3 linked regions of the Macaca mulatta genome follow. The protein of the gene in region 1 interacts with the protein of each later gene in a pairwise test. Links are inferred from orthologs where the notes say so. Each region holds a gene or a part of one and is shown in the gene's direction. Other genes may lie near its edges.

Region 1 (4,324 bases):
CATGTAAAAGAAATTTTCCTAAGTGTTTTCCTAAAGGGTTGATTGTTTGTTATTTATTTAGTGGGCAAAAACCAAAGCATTTAATTCAGATAGGTGTATCCAGCTCATAAATTAAATTTATAATTTCTGTGGCTTTTTTTTTTTCTTTCTTTTTAGCATTTCTGTTTTGTTGTCTGTGCCAGAATCTAGCACTTACAGGAACATTAGTTCTCTTAGCTCCTTTGATGGTCACTGATTTGTTCTTAGAGTTAAAAAATCCTCTGCTCATTTTTCTCATTCATTTTGCACCCCCTTTCTTCTCTTCAGCTACTGTTGAGGCTATTGAGGCTGATGAAGGTAAATTGGCCAGTCCCCTTTCTGTTGTACCTGCAACAGATAAGGGCTCTGCTGGGTGTATTCATTTTTTTGCTGTAGCTTGTACAGAGTGTGTGGGTGTTGAGCTAACAGTTGTGGCTCAGTATTAACCAAAGTGTTCTTGCTTTAAAGGGGAAAATGTCCTTCTATGGTTTGTTTGTTTGTTTCTTTCCCTTAAAGCTATGTTTGACTTTTGTATATGATGAATAATAGAATCACAGAAAACAAAAGGATTATATATTTTGAATGATGTGGGGTGGGGGTTATGGCAGCTGTTTTGACCAGTAGCTTATAAAACAATAATCTTTGAGCTGAACCATGTCCCTCCCTCAAATCACTTTCAGGCAGCACTGAAGATAATAAAAATAGCCATCTTAATTCTAGTCTTCAGAAGTTTGTAGCCAAAGGAAAAAAATGTTCATTTAAATAGTGCTTTGTTGTAGTTCAACATTAATTTATGTCTCTAAAAAATATTCCAACATGAGACAGCTGTGCATGAGATGAACAGTTCTGGTAATCTTAAATCAAATTTTAACCTACTGGTATTTGTATGAGAATTAACACCATCTAAATATTATAAAAAGTTCAAAAGCATCTAGTGGCTATGTAAGTGGCCAATAACAAGAATAGCAAGTATCAAGTAACACTCAATTGATGAATGTATACTGAGTGTCTGCTTTGTGCCAGGCACAGTACTAGGAGCTGCAGGGGAAATAAAGAAGTGTCCATCTCCAGCTGTGTCCTAGCACTACTCAAGGACAGTAGAGTTGACCCTTTAGTAATTGCTTTTTACTTGACTGCTTTTTAAATATATAGTTATAAGAGAAGTGCATAATCAAAATAGTTGTTAATAATATACATACCATATCCTTTGGAAATTTCAAAAATAATAATTTGAAGTTCCCCTTTAAAACAAAATTCTTCAGTTGTATTTTGTTCTTGCAAGGTATTTTTTTTGTTTTTCTCAAAATTATGTGCATATATGGTCCTTTGGTATGATATAAAAAGTGCCACTTTAGACTCTTCCAATTTGTACATGATTTGGGTATGGTAGGGGAAACAATAGCACTGTAAGAGAAAATACAACTGCTTCCTAAATAGCAGTGAATAAACTGCTATTTATGTGGGAATTCTCTATTCCTCTTGGCAAATTCTAATCTGCAGTGTGCATTCTTGTTGATAGTTTGGCTGTTTTCTGTGGTTTCTGTGACTCTGTGTTGTGTTAAGTATACTACCAATGTAAATTGCTAATACCCATTGTCTGACCAGCAACTACAGCAGAGCACATTCTTCCATACCAGGATGGACAAAAATGATTAGAAATGGAGCCCCATTCCAGAAGTATCCATTGTTCTCGCTAGATTTTTAATTTTGACACTCCCACCCTATTGGCTTTTAAAACCTAGAAATTTCACTTTTATCATTTAAATTAATTAAATCATTTCATAAATGATAATGATGACAAACTTTTATACCTGTTAATTATGATGAAATTATATTCACAGTAGTCTGAAAAAAAAAAAAAAAACCAGTAGAGTACCACTTCGTGCCATTCTTTTGTACATCAAAATAATTGAGTTAGTTTTCAGGGTGGGTGCTCGTTAGACAGCTCTATTATTTTGCAATTTATTACTAAATTAGAGAAGAATTAACAAGCTTTGCTTTGGGCCTTGGTCTTTCCCCATTTCCCCATCTTATTCCTCTCACAGTTGACTAATCACCATTATGCTAACCTTTAAAATGCAGAGGGGGGGGAAACTTGTTTCTTATCGTTTAATGAGTATTGAAACGACTGTGTATATCTTTTAGGAATCTCATCCATACTAATAAAAGGCACTGCACATTTGCGTAGGAGTGACTGGTAAATTTCAGCTTGAAACTGCTTTCTTTTTTTTTTTTTTTCTCCCCCAAATAAGATTGGGAGGATAAAGGTACCATGAAATTATCCTTAATCAGCCATGGTGATGCAGCCCAATTGAGCATTGGTGATTGGCCCTGAAATATCTGGCTTGCACTTCACAGGGAGTAAAGCAAACTGATGTCATTGGTTCCCCATTTATGTGTTTTATTTGCAGCTCACCAGTTGGTGTACTCACTGAAGAAATCATTAAGATTTTTGTACAAATGCCTTACCCATCTCTGTAGCACACTAAAGATTACTTTTTTAAAAAATCAAGTATCATTCCCACTTTGAGATTCCGTGTTTTAATTGAATAGGACCAAAACCAGTTCAATTCATTTTTGCTAAATATTGTGAAAGGCATTTTTTCCTTGTTATAATTTAACCATCACTTACATTACGTTGATCTACTGAGTTTTTCTTTCATTTAGGCAGTAATGGATACCAGATGAACATCAGTTTGACCTGTTCGCTGCTGAAGGGCAGATAATACGTTTCTACCTAGTGATCTTACCTTGATTTTTTTTGAGTTTCTCTTACCTTGTCACTCACTCCACATGCTTCCAAAGTTGAGTGGAGAAACAGGAGTTTATAATTTCGTTTTTTTTCATGCCATCATTGAGTTGTTTGTCAAGAAGTTCTTTCTGGGATTCTGAGATGGCATGGAAATGCCCTAGTTAATTCCTTTTCTAGCTCCTTTTAGCTCCTGCTTTAAGCCCTTTACTAGGTTTTTAGGTATAGCAGACATACTGATTCCACTGAATTTGCCATTACCTAGCACAATGGAAGAATACAAAGAGGGACATGCTGCAGCCTGTCTAGATTAAGGTGTTTGATGCAGTAATCATGCTAATGATGTGGCCAGTTGATGCTGGTTCTAGAGGCTTGTCCCTGAAAGCAGCTTTCCTCTTTACGTGTCCACTTTGAATTTCTTTGATCTAAACTTTCATGAAGACAGGAGAAATGTTTACATCTTAATAACTTCAAGAGGACATTTTGGTTGGCAAGAGACATTGGCTGTTTTCAAACCTTTGGTTACCTCCGAGTATGGTAAGGAGTCTGTTGTGTGGTGTGCAGGTCCCGTCACTTTGTTCTTCACTGAAGGATTCCCTCTCACTGAGAAATCTCTAACATCACCTGCTGCAACAGCTGTGCCTTTTGTTTTCCTTTGGATAATCCTGTTTTTCTCTTTTTAATGATTTTCTGTTTAGCTATCAAAGGATTTTCACCACAACATAAGATCACTAGCTTCGAGGAAGCCAAGGGCTTAGACCGAATTAATGAGAGGATGCCGCCTCGCAGAGATGCCATGCCCTCTGACGCCAACCTTAACTCCATCAACAAGGCTCTCACCTCAGAGACTAACGGCACGGACAGCAATGGCAGTAATAGCAGCAATATTCAGTGACCACTTCCTGTTCACTTTTTTTTTTTTTTTTTTTTTTTTTTTGAGCTGCAGGGCATGATGGGGATTGCTGCATATCAGCAGTTGGATGTTCTTGCCTCTGACAGTAGCTTATTTGCTCTGGGGGCCAGGAATTGGATTCAGTTTACACTATCATTAAAAAAGAGGGAGAGAGATAATAAACTATATTTTGGTGGGGGTGGTGATTAAACACCTCTTTGGGGTATGCCTTTTAAAAATGCTTATAGAGAAAAAAAATTTTAAAAAGAAAGCTAATGCTAGTATATACTGCAATGTTAGGGGAATGAACATGTTTTCCTACTGCGTTGGGGACTTCTAGATAGGTTAATGAAAGGCCTTTTATTCTGTTACTGGACATGAAAAACTTTGTCTAATTTCTTATTCTATTGTACGTTTACAGTCGCAGCACTAAAAATGGATGACATCAAACATTTTTAACAAAATGATGTACAAACTAAGGACTATTTATTGATAATGTTTTGCTACTCTTGTCAGACAATGGCTATAAACTGAATTAGGCAGTCTTAAAAAAAAAAAAAAAAAGAAAAAGAAAAAAAAAGAACGTTGCAAATTTGTTAAAATGCCAAAAAGGACAGTTTAATTTTGTACAGATTATGCTTACCTCAGGTTTCTTTAGTGTGCTT
Region 2 (4,264 bases), on another chromosome or scaffold:
GTGCCTGGCCTTCTTTTTGTTTAGACAGAGTCTCACTCTGTCACTTAGGCTGGAGTGCAATGGTAGGATCTCAGCTCACTTCAACCTCTGCCTCCCAGGTTCAAGCAATTCTCTTGCCTCAGCCTCCTGAGTAACTGAGATTACAGGTGTGTGCCACCACGCCCAGCTAATTTTTGTATTTTAGTAGAGACGGGGGTTTCACCATGTTGGCCAGGCTGGTCTTGAACTCCTGACCTCAAGTGATCTGCCCACCTCGGCCTCCCAAAGTGCTGGGATTACAGGTGTAAACCACCATGCCCGGCCTTTTTTTTTTTTTTTTTTAGATGGATTCTTACTCTGTCACTTAGGCTGAAGTGCAATGGTGCAATCTCAACTCACTTCAACCTCTGCCTCCCAGGTTCAAGCGATTCTCCTGCCTCAGCCTCCCGAGTAGCTGGGATTACAGGCACACAACACCATGCCCAGCTAATTTTTTTATTTTTATTTTTAGTAGAGACAGGGTTTCTCCGTGTTGGTCAGGCTGGTCTTGAACTCCTGACCTTAGGTGATCTGCCCGCCTTGGCCTCCCAAAGTGCTGGGATTATAGTTGTAAGCCACTGCACCTGGCCTTTTTTTTTTTTTTTTTTTGATGGAGTCTCACTCTGTCACTTAGGTTAGAGTGCAATGGTGCGATCTCAGCTCACTTCAATCTCTGCCTCCCGGGTTCAAGTGATTCTCCTGCTTCAGCCTCCCGAGTAGCTGGGATTACAGGTGTGTGCTATCACGCCCAGCTAATTTTTGTATTTTAGTAGAGACGAGGTTTCACCATGTTGGCCAGGCTGGTCTTGAACTCCTTACCTCAAGTGATCTGCCCATCTCGGCCTCCCAAAGCGCTAGGATTATAGGCATGAGCCACCACCCAGCCCGCATTTAAAATTTAAAGCACTCCTACTTACTCTGTCTCGAGCATGTGCTGAGCTCAAGGGAAACACAGATGAATGAAGTAGAGACTGTCCTCCAGGTGTTCACAGCAAAGAGAGGTAGAAATAAAAACAAATCGTGTCATTCATTGATGAATGAGTAAACGCAGACAGGCAGAAGAGGGAGAGGCCAGATCTGCTGGGACACCTTTCCCAAGGAAGAGCCCGTTGCACCAGGCTTTGAAGGATAAGCAGGAGCTTGTTACTCAGGCAGAGGAAGAAAGAGCATCCCAGGCCGGGGGAACAGCATATGCAAAGGCACAAAAGGGCCCCGGGAGCCCAGGGAGTCTGGGGAAGTGTGAGCGCTTTGCAGAGTAGGGGCTGGTGGCCAGAAATGGGGCTGCAGCTGGCTGGGCCACATGGTGAAGGCTGAAAACTGGACCTAGAGGCCAACTAGCCTGTGATCAGCATTTCCCAAAATCTGTTTCCCGACTCATGGTTCTGGGAGATGTGTTGGGGGCTCCTTTGACATTCCTGAGACTCAGGTTTTCATCTGTGATGCGGGGACAGCTGCGCCCCTTGCTGCGAGGCGTCAGGACTCAGGTGATGAAGGGGGGGTGGCACCCGCGGTTCCTGGCGGCCACTGATGCCTGTCTCTCTGTTGTGTGTGTACGTGCGTGTGTGCTCCACGCCTGGCTTCTCAGGCTTTAAAATGTGTGTCAGCAGCAGCAGCAGCAGCCACGAAGAGGCCCCCGTCCTGAACGACAAGCACCTGGATGTGCCCGACATCATCATCACGCCCCCCACCCCCACAGGCATGATGCTGCCGAGGGACTCGGGGAACACAGGTGAGGCCGTCTCCTCTGCCGCCAAGCAGGGTCGGGTCTGGGGGCCTGGTGGCCTGGTGGAGACAGCTCTCAGGGGCGTCCTTCTGGGCCACGGGGCCGAGCTTGCGTCCCCACCTCCCCCTGGGTTCATTAAGCATTTATGGTCAGACCTGTGTACACTGCACCGTGAGCCCCCTGCCACGGCGCCAGCCTCAGCACGACGCGGCGTGTTAAGTAATTAGTAGACAGCCTCTGCCAGCAGCCAGTACGATTGATGGATGGGGCCGGGCTGGCCTGCCACACTGTGGCTCCCGCCAGCCAAGGTAATTGATGGATGCTCCTTCCCCTGCCAGCGGGAGGACCGCTCCTCCGTCTTGTTGGCTGCTGCAGTTTGGCTGGACAGGACAGACTGGGAAACACAGCCCATGCCCAGGCTGGGGCCGGACCCTGGGCCTTCCAGATGCAGCTCACTGCTGGGAGCAGGGAGGAAATAGAGTTCTTCCCAGGGAGAGGGTGAGGAGGTGGGACACAGGCCCAAATCGGCTCCCCCACCTGCCCCTCGGTGATACCTCTGGTGCTGGTGGGACAAATTGTTCACGTATTCATCGAGCAAAGATTTATTGAGCTGGGCCTACACCAGGTGCTGAAGGCTGCTGCTATGAATAATAATGATATTGGGGATGGTCATGATAGGTTGCACTGTACTGAGTGTAATGAGTGGATTTTCTTATTTAGTTCTTACAGGAATTCTCAGAGTTAAGTACAGATTTCATCCCCATTTTATTATTTGTATTTATTTATTTTTTGAGATGGAGTTTTGCTCTGTTGCTCAGGCTGGAGTGCTGTGGTGCAATCTCGGCTAACTGCAACCTCCATCTCCCTTGTTCAAGTGATTCTTCTGCCTCAGCCTCCTGAATAGCTAGGATTACAGGTGCCCACCACCATGCCCAGCTAATTTTTGTATTTTAGTAGATATGGGGTTTCGTCGTGTTGGTCAGGCTGGTTTCAAACTCCTGACCTCAGGTGATCCGCCTGCCTGGGCCTCCCAAAGTGATGGGATTACAGGCATGAGCCACCGCACCCAGCCGCATCCCCATTTTAGAAATGGGTAATCTGAGGTTGAGAGAGGCTGAGACACTTGCCGTGCAGCTGGTCAGTGGTGCAGCGGGGAAGCAGCCCCAGGCTGTGTGATCTGCACTTCACACCATGGCCCCCAGGCCGGATGCCCTCCCCACAGGTGGCATCAGTTAGTTGACAGCCATTGTGACGTGGGTCTCGCTGGGCCCATGTAAGCGACACGGCACCCATGAGGCTGATGTAGGGTACGTGGAAGGCTGTCTGGGAGGGGGGATCTGTAGACCCTTCCAGATGTCCTGAGCTTGGGTCTCCGCTTGCCCGGCAGAGCAAGTGACTGGGAGAAAGCTGTCAGGCCCCTCTGGGTTGGACCAGTGCAGGTGCTGGGTGGAGCCATGGTGGGTGCAGTGGGGTGCCTTCCTCTGTGACCTTTCCAAGTGCCTGGCACCAGGCTAAATGCTTTTCACAAATCTCATTTAATTCTCATTCCAACCCTTATCTCTAGTTTAGAAATGGGGAAACAAACAGGTCCAGAGAGGGACAGTGCCTTGCCCAGGGACACACAGCAAGGTGGGAGAAGAGCTGGGCTCCTGCTGCAGTGCTCCTCCTGCACCCCAGTGCTGTCTAATCAGAGAGCCCAGTGTGGGCGGACAGAGGCCCAGGTCCTTAGCTCAGCTGTCACAGTCTCTTCCCTCTCTGAGCCTGTGTCCTCACCTATAAAATGGGATCATGCCACTTTGCCTGCTTCCAGGACCAGTGTGGGCAGAGGGGAGACACAGGGTTACTCTGCAGGGTCCGAGCCCTAGGGAGGTTCCTGAACCCTGGGAGGAGTTCCTCTGAAACTTAAGCAGCTCCGGGATCCGACTCACCCAGAAGGATCCAGCATCACTGGGCTGGGTCCCATCTCTGCCTCTGGCAGCACCAGAAAGCAAGGAATCCCAGAGGCCTCAGCCCTGCAGCTCCCAGGGAAGCGGGCCTGGGTGTGGTGGGGGCGGGGTGCATCCAGGTGTCACCATCCCCTCTTTCTCCTAGTCTGGTTGGATGAGACAGGGTCGTGCCCGGATGATGGAGAACTCGACCCAGAAGCCTGAGGAGGTGTCGTGGATTTGTCTGGTGGGCTCCTGCTGCGGGGTCCCAGCTTCAGGTGTCCGGGGGCGTGGCTGCCTGGAGCAGGTGTGCTGAATACCTTGGATGGGAACTGAGCGAATCTGGGTCTCCGCTGGGAGAGATGTGGCAGGACCAGCGAGGAATCCAGCCTGCCTGCTTCCGGAACAGTGTTTCCCGACCCTGCTGAGTGGACTGGACCTCTGACACCTCCAGGGTCTTGCTGACTCCAGCCTGGTGCAAGGGAGCTCCATGGTCCTGGCTGTTGGGGTCCCAGGGAGAGGCTCTCTTCAGGACAAACACACCTTCCCAGCCCCACGGGCTGTGCAAATACGTGCCCCTGCCATAAGCACAAACAAG
Region 3 (3,239 bases), on another chromosome or scaffold:
CTCTCATCAGGTTGATCTTTAAATAAAGCAAAAATTTATTCAAGAAAGGGCTTTCATCAAGAAATTAAAGAGAGAAATTACAAGCAATAGAGAAACTGGGCATTTCTATACTAGAGAAACCACCTAAAACAACTGTATGGAGTAAGATGAAAGGTATGAATATGCCTGGATGAAATTTTACCTAGTGTGACATTTTTGCCCATCTTTTTGTCACAAAAGGCTGCTAAGGAAGAGAGAATATAGTTTTCTAGAGAATAAGAGTACAGTGTAAAAATGGAAACCACAGTTTCAGAAATTCATGTAGAAAACAAGGATGAGAAGAGATCAGCAGAAGGTAGTCCTGGGGCTGAAAGACAGAAGGAAAAGGCATCCATGCTTTGCTTCAAGAGAAGAAAGAAAGCAGCTAAAGCACTGAAGCCCAAAGTTGGCTCTGAAGCTGCTGATGTGGCAAGGAAGTGTCCCCAAGAAGCAGGAGCTTCTGATCAGCCAGAGCCCCCACGGGGGGCCTGGGCCTCACTCAAACGTCTTGTAACACGCAGGAAAAGGTCAGAGTCTTCAAAGCAGCAAAAGTTATTGGAGGCTGAAGTGCAACCTGCAATAAACACTGAGGATGCTGATCTTTCTAAGAAAAAGGCAAAATCTAGACTTAAGATTCCCTGCATAAAATTCCCAAGAGGGCCAAAAAGGAGTAATCATTCCAAAATTATAGAAGACTCAGACTGCAGCATCAAAGTCCAGGAAGAAGCTGAAATTTTGGATATACAAACACAGACCCCATTGAATGATCAGGCAACAAAGGCTAAGTCAACCCAGGATCTAAGTGAAGGCATCTCACGGAAAGATGGTGATGAAGTCTGTGAATCAAATGTGAGCAATAGCATAACTTCTGGAGAGAAAGTGATTTCAGTAGAACTTGGATTAGATGATGGGCATTCTGCTATTCAAACGGGAACTCTAATCCTTGAAGAAATTGAAACGGTCAAGGAAAAACAAGATGTTCAACCCCAGCAAGCAGGCCCACTTGAAACTTCAGAAACAGACCATCAGCAAACAGTACTTTCTGATGTTCCACCTTTACCTGCAATCCCAGCTCAACAAATTATGGAAGAAGCCAGTAACAATATCCTAAAAAGTGCACCAAATGGGAAAGACTATGAAAGTAGAGAGATTGTAGCTGAAGAAACTAAGCCAAAAGATACTGAATTGAGCCAAGAATCAGATTTTAAAGAAAATGGGATCACTGAAGAGAAGTCCAAATTAGAAGAAAGCAAACGAATAGAGCCCATTGCTATTATTATTACAGACACTGAAATCAGTGAATTTGATGTTAAGAAATCAAAAAATGTCCCTAAGCAATTCTTAATTTCAACTGAAAATGAGCAAGTAGGGGTTTTTGCTAATGATAATGGTTTTGAGGATAGAACTTCAGAACAATATGAAACACTCTTAATTGAAACAGCCTCTTCTCTTGTCAAGAATGCTATTCAGTTGTCAGTAGAACAGCTGGTTAATGAAATGGCCTCTGATGATAATAAAATAAACAATCTTCTACAGTGACTTACTCTCCAGAGTCATGGCAGGAAAAATAAGCTTAATGAAGAATTCTTTTATACATTTGTGGCATTTCTTACTCAGTAACAAATGAGAGATTTATCATCTCTAGAACTTAAAAGGTACAATTCCAGCGTAGAAGTGCTAAAGATTAAGTCAAGTTTATAAAACTCTACCACTGAAATGCAGTCACTTCTGGATTGGAGGAAGTCAGCACAGATTGCAGTATAAAGTGACATAACATACAGGGAGTTGCTAAAACGGCATATGGAGATTGGAGTGCTTTGGGGGAGGAAGATGTATTTATTGAGCACTTATGGTATGCCATAAGCTTTTTAATGACCTCTGATATAACAAAGTCTGGTTTCCTTTTGATAATTCAGCTGTGTATAGGCTAACATCACATTGAGTTTTTAAAAACTTATTTTTACAGTGCACATATATGTTGTTTAAAATGGTGAATAAGGTGAGCTACTTTTGTGAATGTGATTTGTAATTGTTACATTCCTAAGCAGTAGGCTTAACTCAAAAAATACATTGCATTTTCCCAATTTCAGCAGATAGTGTGCAGAATACGCATATTGAAATTAAACGTGAGTGGTTTTCTAGTCTTAAGTCCCTTATAAGAGCTATTTGGCCGGGTGTGGTGGCTCACACCTATAATCCCAGCACTTTGGAGGCCAAGGAGGGTGGATCAGCTAAGATCAGGAGTTTGAGACCAGCCTGGCCAATGTGGTGAAACCCCGTCTCTACTGAAAATACAAAAATTAGCTGGGCGTGGTGGCGTGCGCCTGTAATCCCAGCTACTTGGGAGGCTGAGGCAGGGGAATTGCTTGAACCCGAAAGGTGGAGGTTGCAGTGAGCCAAAATTGCACCACTGCACTCCAGTCTGGACACCAGAGCAAGACTCCATCTCAAAAAAGAAAAAAAAAAAAAGGAGAACCATTCACAAATCCTTCAATCAGGCAAACTGTTACTAAGTGCAAAAGTGTAGAAAAAGGAGTGGGTTTTTCCCTCTCTTCTTTCTGCCTCAACAGATCTGTATATATCCATTTCTGCATGGATTTATCTGTGAAAAGTTAAAAAACGAAACAGCAAAAACAAAACAAGTGGAATATTCTTCTTCATCCAGAAGAAGGGAAAATTCCCAATTAAATTATCATAGATAATATAGGATTCATCTTGCAGAATTACTTCTTTAAGAGCCATATTCATCAACCTCTCTCCAAAGAGGCGAGAGTAGATTCAAAGCCAGGCTGGTAGTAATGGTCCTGGAAAATCCTAATAATCTAGTGCAAATATTATTTATTTTTGGCCAAAAATGAGCCATGAATGTGGGTGAATAGAAAGTGAAAAGTTAAAGCACATTATAATTTAAATGTCAATATTACTTCCTGTCTGTGTGTTGAGAGAAACCAGTAAAAATCATTTTACATGGATATTGACAATTAACTTTTTCATCACTATTTTCCTTTCTTTTCTTTTTTTGAGACGGCGTCTTGCTGTCACCCAGGCTGGAGTGCAGTGGCGCGATCTCGGCTCACTGCAAGCTCCACCTTCTGGGTTCATGACATTCTCCTGCCTCAGCCTCCCAAGTAGCTGGGACTACAGGCGCCTACTACCACGCTAGGCTAATTTTTTGTATTTTTAGTAGAGACGGGGTTTCACCCTGTTAGCCAGGATGGTCT

What was found.
Region 2: the proteins of PPP3CA (region 1) and C20H16orf74 interact in binary tests that used the Homo sapiens proteins (3 or more experiments, as listed by UniProt). The two-hybrid records come from large-scale screens. The link is inferred for Macaca mulatta from reciprocal best matches to the Homo sapiens genes PPP3CA and C16orf74.
Region 3: the proteins of PPP3CA (region 1) and AKAP5 interact in binary tests that used the Homo sapiens proteins (3 or more experiments, as listed by UniProt). The link is inferred for Macaca mulatta from reciprocal best matches to the Homo sapiens genes PPP3CA and AKAP5.

The regions. Positions count from the first base shown.
Region 1 is NC_133410.1:110,350,194-110,354,517, reverse strand, and holds the end of PPP3CA (protein phosphatase 3 catalytic subunit alpha), read left to right. Parts: intron 1-306; coding exon of another isoform or gene 307-336; intron 337-3,465; coding exon 3,466-3,662; 3' UTR 3,663-3,704; downstream 3,705-4,324. UniProt on the Homo sapiens protein: Calcium-dependent, calmodulin-stimulated protein phosphatase which plays an essential role in the transduction of intracellular Ca(2+)-mediated signals. Many of the substrates contain a PxIxIT motif and/or a LxVP motif.
Region 2 is NC_133425.1:81,095,288-81,099,551, reverse strand, and holds the start of C20H16orf74 (uncharacterized protein C16orf74 homolog), read left to right. Parts: upstream 1-1,409; 5' UTR 1,410-1,545; coding exon 1,546-1,747; intron 1,748-3,832; coding exon 3,833-3,891; 3' UTR 3,892-4,264.
Region 3 is NC_133412.1:137,562,928-137,566,166, forward strand, and holds the end of AKAP5 (A-kinase anchor protein 5), read left to right. Parts: intron 1-10; 5' UTR 11-273; coding exon 274-1,557; 3' UTR 1,558-2,657; downstream 2,658-3,239. UniProt on the Homo sapiens protein: Multivalent scaffold protein that anchors the cAMP-dependent protein kinase/PKA to cytoskeletal and/or organelle-associated proteins, targeting the signal carried by cAMP to specific intracellular effectors.